Canis lupus familiaris: one gene and its partner. The protein of the gene in region 1 purifies or fractionates together with the protein of each later gene. This does not show direct contact. Links are inferred from orthologs where the notes say so. Each region holds a gene or a part of one and is shown in the gene's direction. Other genes may lie near its edges.

Region 1 (3,364 bases):
AGCTCTGATGCCTTGTTATCCATCTGGGGATTCCCAGGGTGATGCCCGCTATCTCATCTCCAACTCCAAAGACCAGACCATCAAGCTCTGGGATATCCGACGCTTTTCTAGTCGGGAAGGAATGGAGGCCTCACGGCAGGCTGCCACACAGCAAAACTGGGACTACCGCTGGCAGCAGGTGCCCAAAAAAGGTGAGTGTGGAAGGTAGAAGCTGACACCTGGAGAGTGGAGAGTCAGGGGTGGAAGTTCCAATACTTAGCCCCTGGTAAGACCTAACAGGGGCACAGTGGATTTAACTATGGCCTGGAGAAACCCCATCCCCTTCGCCACACATTAATTCTTTGCCCAACTGTGCGGAGAGTTGGGGCAAGAGGCTGGAGATCACTCAGAACCAACTAATACAAAAGTATTTCAGTGTTTTCACAACCAGCAGAGCCACCTGGGGGAATATTAGGTGGGGAAAGAGCCATCAGTTGGGGATTGAAAAGGCAGTCATCTGTGAGTATCGATTGTTGCCGAGGACTAAGGGTGAGGGAAGATCCAGACTCCCTAATCTCCGGGCTCTCCGTGCATCCCTACCCAGCCTGGCGGAAACTGAAGCTCCCAGGGGACAGCTCCTTGATGACCTACCGGGGCCATGGGGTGCTGCACACCCTCATCCGCTGCCGATTCTCCCCCATCCATAGTACGGGCCAGCAGTTTATCTACAGCGGCTGCTCTACTGGCAAAGTTGTTGGTAAGGATTGTGTCAGGACAGGGGGCCTTGGGAAAGGCAAGAATGTTTCTCTGGCATTTCACCTGTAACCACCAGTGACCACCGTAAAAAGCCCAGTGGTGACTACAAGTGAAATGTAATTTAGCCTGGAGCAGGTCAGCCTTAAAACAGAGAAATAGAGAACCTTATATTCATCAGCATTCTAAATTAAGAAAGGGAACATAGAATTCTAATCAGTAAATATAAAAGATTGCCAGAAATATATGCAATTCTGTTTTTTAAAGAGATTACATATGAAAGGTGGGGGAGGGGGGATCAGAGACAAAAAGACAGCAGTTCCAAGTAAAGGATGTGCAGCCCCTAAAGCCAGAAGAGCGTACAGAAAGGCACACAGAGAAAAAAAAAAAAAAAAAAAAAAAAAAAAAAAAGAAAGGCACACAGACACACCCACCGCTTATAAGGAGCCTAGGATAGTGCCATACTTAGGGAGGCACTCGGATAGAGACCCACTGGGAAAGAGAGAATGATGCACCTCCATCCAGATGGGGAAGAGCAAATTCAGATGTCTGCAGATGGCCCATTGTTCACTTTGGTTATGCCTTCTGTGTCTTCTGGGTTTCTTGGAAAATTGCTGTAAAGAGCTTTAGAACCATGTTGCGTTTTCTTAGTGTAGACCCTGTGACATTTAGCTAGGGGCCAGGGAGAGATACCCAAGCTCTGCTGGACCATACTCTCAGCCCAAGGTAGGGAAAAGAAACTGAGGAATTAGAGCACCCTCTGGTGTGGGCTTTGCTCCCCTATGAAAGCAGGGAAGTTGCCTAAGAGATAGGTAAGTAGTGCAGATGAGGAACTATGAGGGGTGCTTGGAAGGTACTCTGGCAGCCCCTCTCCACTCCGGCCTTCCCTGGACAGTGTATGACCTCCTCAGCGGCCGCATCGTGAAGAAGCTGACCAACCACAAGGCCTGTGTGCGTGACGTCAGTTGGCATCCGTTTGAGGAAAAGATTGTCAGCAGTTCGGTGAGGTTACAAGGGTTTGGGGGGCAGGGACCAGTGCATGTCTGGGACTTGGACCTAGGCGGGGCAGCATCTCCTGACTCTTGTCACCTCTGCTCTGCAGTGGGACGGGAACCTGCGTCTGTGGCAGTACCGCCAGGCTGAGTACTTCCAGGACGACATGCCAGAATCTGAGGAACCCCCCAGTGCCCCTGCCCCGGTGTCCCACCCCTCTACAGCCTTTTCCTCCCCCCAGTAATTCTAATCTCCAGCCCCGTACACGGAGAGCCTCTTACAAGCTCTCTGCCTCTTCCTGCCTTTCTCCCTTCCGGGAGATCTTTGGGGACTCACTGGCATTGGATGGGGGAAACACAAGCCCAGGTTTGGGGGCCCTAGCTGAGCCCTGGAAGATCCTCCCCAAGGGGCGGAGTGGACTCCTCACATGCTCACACCCAGTTGGCTAGGGTCTCTATCTCTGGCCAGGGTCCAGCAGGACTGCCATTATCTGGGGTGTGCCCTTTGTCAGCAGGAGAACTGTCCTGAGTGTTTTTAATCATGTTTGGATGTTAAGTGTTAGCTCCTAGAGTAGATGCCTGAGGTCAGGTCTGAACTGAGCTGTCAGCCGGGCCTATTGCCCTGTCCTTCATATTGAGGATTAGACTGGCCAATCAGAAGGCCAGGCGTCCTGGCCATTCTTCCAGAGATCCTGAAGGCTAGAGCTCTAGCCTTTTTGGGGAAGGCATCCTCAGCACCCTGCTGGGGTGGGAATTATGTCTTCTCCTGCTCTGTCTGGGTCTTCAGGGTGGGACAGGCTGTGGTGTGAGAGGCTCCCAGTGGCCCCACACAGGGCAGGCCTTCCCTTCCCAGACTGTTCCATCATGTTGGCAGCCAGCAGTATCAAGGAGGGATGTTGAAGGAGGACTCCTTCGTCCTCTCAATAAAGGCTTTGGCTCCCTCAATAAATTCTCTCTGTGGGAACCAGGCTCAGTGTCTGTCTCTGTCTCACTCTTTCTTTTTCCTATCTGAGGCCTTTTATCCCCTGACTTCAAGAAAGTAGTTTTAACAGAGCCTTCAGATATGTTTCTCTGTGGGGAAAAAAACACCCCTTTGATGCCCCCAAGATGAAGAGAAATACCAGAATCATTTGTTAACTGAACTCTGCAACAGCTTCCTCACTGAACTCAGAAACTTCCAGCAAGTAGAAATCAAGATAGCAAGAAGTAAGCACGTCTTAGATTGGAGCCTGGAACACCCACATCAGCTTTGTTCTGGGGCTGGCCTTGGTACCAGTCTGGTCTATGAGAAGAAGTAGCCCAGAGCCAGAGAGAACCTACGGGTTTTGATGCCAGGCCTCACCTGGTGCTTCACATTCGGGACCTCACCTACCCTCACAGCCAGCCTTTAGTAAAAGTGTGCAAATGGCAGTGTGCACAGGTCAGGCAGCATGACCCTGAGCAAGCCCATGGTATGGTCAGTAGGGAACTTGGTTGGGATTCATATGCAGCTCTGATCCATCTGTCCCCATGACATTTCATTATCCCTAATGCAATTTCCAAACCAGGGTGCACACCTCCAGGGGTTCTGAAAAATACAACAAGGGGTGAAAGGGATACCTCTTTTATGGCTAAATAGGTTGTTTTAAAAGAATAGATTG
Region 2 (4,284 bases), on another chromosome or scaffold:
TCTGAAAATTAAAGATTTTGCCCTGACCATTCCTTGGAATGACACTTCTCCCTGTCCTCCCTCTCCCCACCCCATACCCACCCCAGGCCATCCTGGTTGCAGGCAAAAGGGAGCCTAGCAAACTCCAACTTAATTTTATTTCGGCCACCAGGATTCTCTTCATGGACTGACATAATTCTGGATCATAAAGACAATGACCATTTGATTGAGGGTGCTGCTCTCCAGCTCCCCCACAGTGGGCTGCGTGTGCTATGGCGGGCTGAACAGTGGCCCCCAAATACAGCCAGGTCCCAATCCTTGGAACCTGTGAATGTTACTTTACAGGGAAAAAGAGATTTTGCAGATCTGATTGAAGTATGAATCTTCGGATGGGGAGATTATCGTGGATTTATGATTAAGGATCTTCAGATGGGGAGATTATCCTGGGTTATCCCAGTGGGCACTGTATATAATGCCAGGTGTCTTTATAAGAAAGAAGCAAGGAGGGGTTTTATCGCACAAGGCGATGTGACTACAGAAACAGAGGGACAAAGAAAAAGATTTGAAGATGCTGCTAAAACACTGGAACTGAAGGAAACTGGAACACATTTCCTGGTACCTGCTGGTTGCGGGCACTGGAGTGGGCTCTGCAGGCTCAAGGCACAGGTCTTCACCTGCTTTCTGAGAGCTTTCACTTTGGATGTGGCACAGGCATACACTGAAAGAACCAGCTAGACAAATGGGTAGGGGAGCAAGGGGGAGTAAACGCAGTGCACAGCGACGTGCTTGGGCGTAGGAGTGGGGAGGGGTCGGAGTGGGCTGGGTTTGTCCCAAGCGAGTTTTGAAAGGCTGCTGGAGATGGAGGATAGAGGGAGGCCGGGAAGGGCTGGAGTGCTGGGCACGTTCCTAGTATGTAGGTAATACGGTATTTGCAAGGAGGAAAGGACACGCCGGTGAACCATTCGCGACCAGGTTTCACCTCAGATTATCCACTCAGTGAAATACCTATTTAGGTCCTTGGCTGTCGGGTTGGACGCGGCAGAGGCCCGCACGTGGGCGTGGGGCATACGAAGGGAACTGCCAGGGGAGCCGGCGCGGCTGAAGCACGAGGACCGAGGGCCGGGTGGCAGGCAGGGTCCTGACCCTGCGGGGCCTTGCACGCCATGGCCCGGGCGCGGATCTTGTTCTGAGGGCAATAACGTGGTTCTTCATTAATTCTGCAACAGTCTTAGGAACTGGGCCGTTTTATCCCAGTTTTACTGACGAGGACGGTAAGGCTGGGAGCGCGCAGGGTGAAGTAATTTGTCCCAGATCTGTCACCGCCGCAAGCGCGTGGCGGACCCGGTCTTCCGAAGTCCACCCGCTCCGGGGCCGCCCGCCCCACCCGCCGAGGCCCCGCGCCCACTGAGCATGCGCCGCTGGCCTACGGAAGCCGACGGGGAGGGGGCGGGGCCGAGGCTGGCGGGCGCGGGGAAAATGGCGGCGGCGGCGAACGGGACTGGAGGGAGCAGCGGGATGGAGGTGGATGCGGCAGGTAACGGGCCTCGCGGAGGCGGCCTCTGGTGACGCCCCCCGGGGAGCGACAAGGCCCCCCTGGACTCCCGGGAGGAGTCAGCAGTCGGGACGGCGATCCCGCCCCCTGGACTAACTTGCGGGAGGGATGTATGGCTCCGGCTCTGCCGTCTCCCGCTCGCAGCTCCGGGGCAGAACGTGCGGCCCCGACGCTCACTCGTCCTCCTTTTCCTCCACCCTCAGTAGTCCCCAGCGTGATGGCCTCCGGCGTGACGGGGAGCGTCTCCGTCGCTCTTCATCCCCTCGTCATTCTCAACATTTCAGACCATTGGATTCGCATGCGCTCCCAGGAGGGGCGGCCTATGCAGGGTGCGTGCTGGGCGTCAATCTCCAACCTCCTCTCCTTGGTCACCTGCCCCAAGTAGGGGTCTTTGCCCCCGCCCTTCCTGAGGCCAGTCCCCCCTCCCCAGGTCACCGTGTCTCCAGCATTGCGTTCCCACTGACCTCGACCCAGGGACCGGATTCTTAACCCTCCTGTTTTCCGTGTCGCTCTCTCCCCCAGTGATTGGGGCGCTGATCGGGAAGCAGGAGGGCAGAAATATCGAGGTGATGAACTCCTTTGAGCTGCTGTCCCACACCGTGGAGGAGAAGATTATCATTGACAAGGAGTATTACTACACCAAGGAGGAGCAGTGTGAGAGGGGGATAGACTCGGGGGTGAGGAGTGGGAGTGAGAAACAAAGGCAGAGTGGGGAAGATGGAGAGTGATGGGGAAAAATAGGAGAATGGGACAAGAACTGTGTTTGTGTGAGGAGAGTATCACAAAGGATCTCAGAAAAGGAACAGTTTAGGTACCCACCCCCCAGACAGTAATAGATGAGAGAAGATAGAAGGGACTAATTATTGAGAACTGAGCCAGGAGTTGAGCGGGGAGGGGAGAAGCTGATGAAAAATATACCAGGAGTTTCCAATGAAGGGAGGGTGATTTAAAGAATGATACCCTGTGCTCTTTCCCCTGCAGTCAAACAGGTGTTCAAGGAGCTGGAGTTTTTGGGTTGGTATACCACCGGGGGGCCGCCTGACCCCTCTGACATCCACGTCCACAAGCAGGTACACATGCATGCTGGTGCATGCTGGGGCAGGGCTTGAGCAGGGGAGGAAAGATGGGCATTGACACCCACATCCCCATTCCCTTCCAGGTGTGCGAGATCATCGAGAGCCCTCTCTTTCTTAAGTTGAATCCTATGACCAAGCACACAGATGTGAGTAATACTGACCCCATGCCCACTTAGGCACGGTGCTGGACAAGCATGACAATCTTACCCTCCTCCCCTGCTGTGCTTTACATCTCTGTTGGGCTGAATCTTCACTTGAGGTGAATTCTCCGCTCAGCAGCTGTGTGACTTTAGGTTAATCATTTAATCTCAGAACTGCTTTTTGCCCTATGTATAAGGTGGGGGTTAGCCTTACTTCAGTGGGCCCTTGGGAAGATTGGGAAAATCTGCAGAAGAGCCAGTACGGTAGCCCAGGTGCACTTGATGTAAGAGCTGTCTCCCGTTGCTTTACAGCTTCCCGTCAGTGTTTTTGAGTCTGTCATCGATATAATCAATGGAGAGGTAATGCCCTGCCTTTCAACCCCGCGGTCCTGCTCCTTGGCCTTTCCTGCTCCTGACTCTGCTTTTGTGCCCTGTAGGCCACGATGCTGTTTGCGGAACTGACCTACACTCTGGCCACAGAGGAAGCTGAACGCATTGGCGTCGACCACGTGGCCCGAATGACAGCCACAGGCAGCGGCGAGAACTCCACAGGTAAGGAAGACTGGAGGTGTTTCCTCAGCAGTGGGGGGTGGAAAGCGTGGCCAGGTGCGTTTTCAACCTTGGCCTCTCCCTGTCTCCCCCCAGTGGCCGAACACCTGATAGCACAACACAGTGCCATTAAGATGCTGCACAGCCGGGTCAAGCTCATCTTGGAATATGTCAAGGCCTCTGAAGCGGGTAGGACAGGCGTCTCCCTGGCACGCCTACCACTTTTTCTCACTCCTGAGGGTGACCTCATCCACATTAATGCAGTCCTTCTGTGCCTTTAGGAGAGGTTCCCTTTAACCATGAGATCCTGCGGGAGGCCTATGCTCTGTGTCACTGCCTCCCTGTGCTCAGTACAGACAAGTTCAAGACAGACTTTTACGATGTGAGTCTAAAACCCAGGCTGGGGACGTGGGGTTTGTACATCATGTCTGCACGCAGGACCCGGGACTCAGACATTCCCTGGGCAACTGGTTTTCTGTTCCTTCCAGCAATGCAATGACGTGGGGCTCATGGCCTACCTTGGCACCATTACCAAAACCTGCAACACCATGAACCAGTTTGTGAACAAGTTCAACGTCCTCTATGACCGACAAGGCATCGGCAGGCGGATGCGGGGGCTCTTCTTCTGAGAGGGTACTTGAAGGGACGATGCACAGGTTGGACAGTGGTCCCACAGGGGAGGGGCATCACACTCCCTTTAGAGAAACCTCCTGTTGATAATAAAAGAGGAGCAGCCCCTCAGCACCCCTTGCAGTGGCTCTGTCCTCTCTGTTGGGCACCACACGGCTTTCTCAACTCGGATCTTGAAAGGAGGCCCTTGGTTCCAGCCTTGCTCGGCAGGACAGCCTGATTGGGAACTCTCTGCCACTTGAGGTGACCCCGTCCTGTCAGGTGGATGCATCTATACTGGGCCAAAGGCTGCCTGCTTCCACCCAGGCGAGCTCTGTTCTCTAATGTCTCCCAGTGCAGAGACCAACCATATACACTT

What was found.
Region 2: the proteins of DCAF11 (region 1) and COPS6 purify together in Homo sapiens (affinity purification with mass spectrometry; 6 studies listed by BioGRID and IntAct, counting the BioPlex papers as one, with this or other methods). This does not show direct contact. The link is inferred for Canis lupus familiaris from reciprocal best matches to the Homo sapiens genes DCAF11 and COPS6.

The regions. Positions count from the first base shown.
Region 1 is NC_049229.1:4,246,753-4,250,116, forward strand, and holds the end of DCAF11 (DDB1- and CUL4-associated factor 11), read left to right. Parts: intron 1-37; coding exon 38-191; intron 192-581; exon of another isoform or gene 582-583; coding exon 584-736; intron 737-1,627; coding exon 1,628-1,734; intron 1,735-1,834; coding exon 1,835-1,969; 3' UTR 1,970-2,693; downstream 2,694-3,364. UniProt on the Homo sapiens protein: May function as a substrate receptor for CUL4-DDB1 E3 ubiquitin-protein ligase complex.
Region 2 is NC_049227.1:9,446,714-9,450,997, reverse strand, and holds COPS6 (COP9 signalosome complex subunit 6), read left to right. Parts: upstream 1-1,364; 5' UTR 1,365-1,389; coding exon 1,390-1,513; intron 1,514-1,734; coding exon 1,735-1,860; intron 1,861-2,053; coding exon 2,054-2,185; intron 2,186-2,512; coding exon 2,513-2,601; intron 2,602-2,690; coding exon 2,691-2,753; intron 2,754-3,059; coding exon 3,060-3,107; intron 3,108-3,184; coding exon 3,185-3,299; intron 3,300-3,392; coding exon 3,393-3,485; intron 3,486-3,577; coding exon 3,578-3,678; intron 3,679-3,784; coding exon 3,785-3,925; 3' UTR 3,926-4,043; downstream 4,044-4,284. UniProt on the Homo sapiens protein: Component of the COP9 signalosome complex (CSN), a complex involved in various cellular and developmental processes.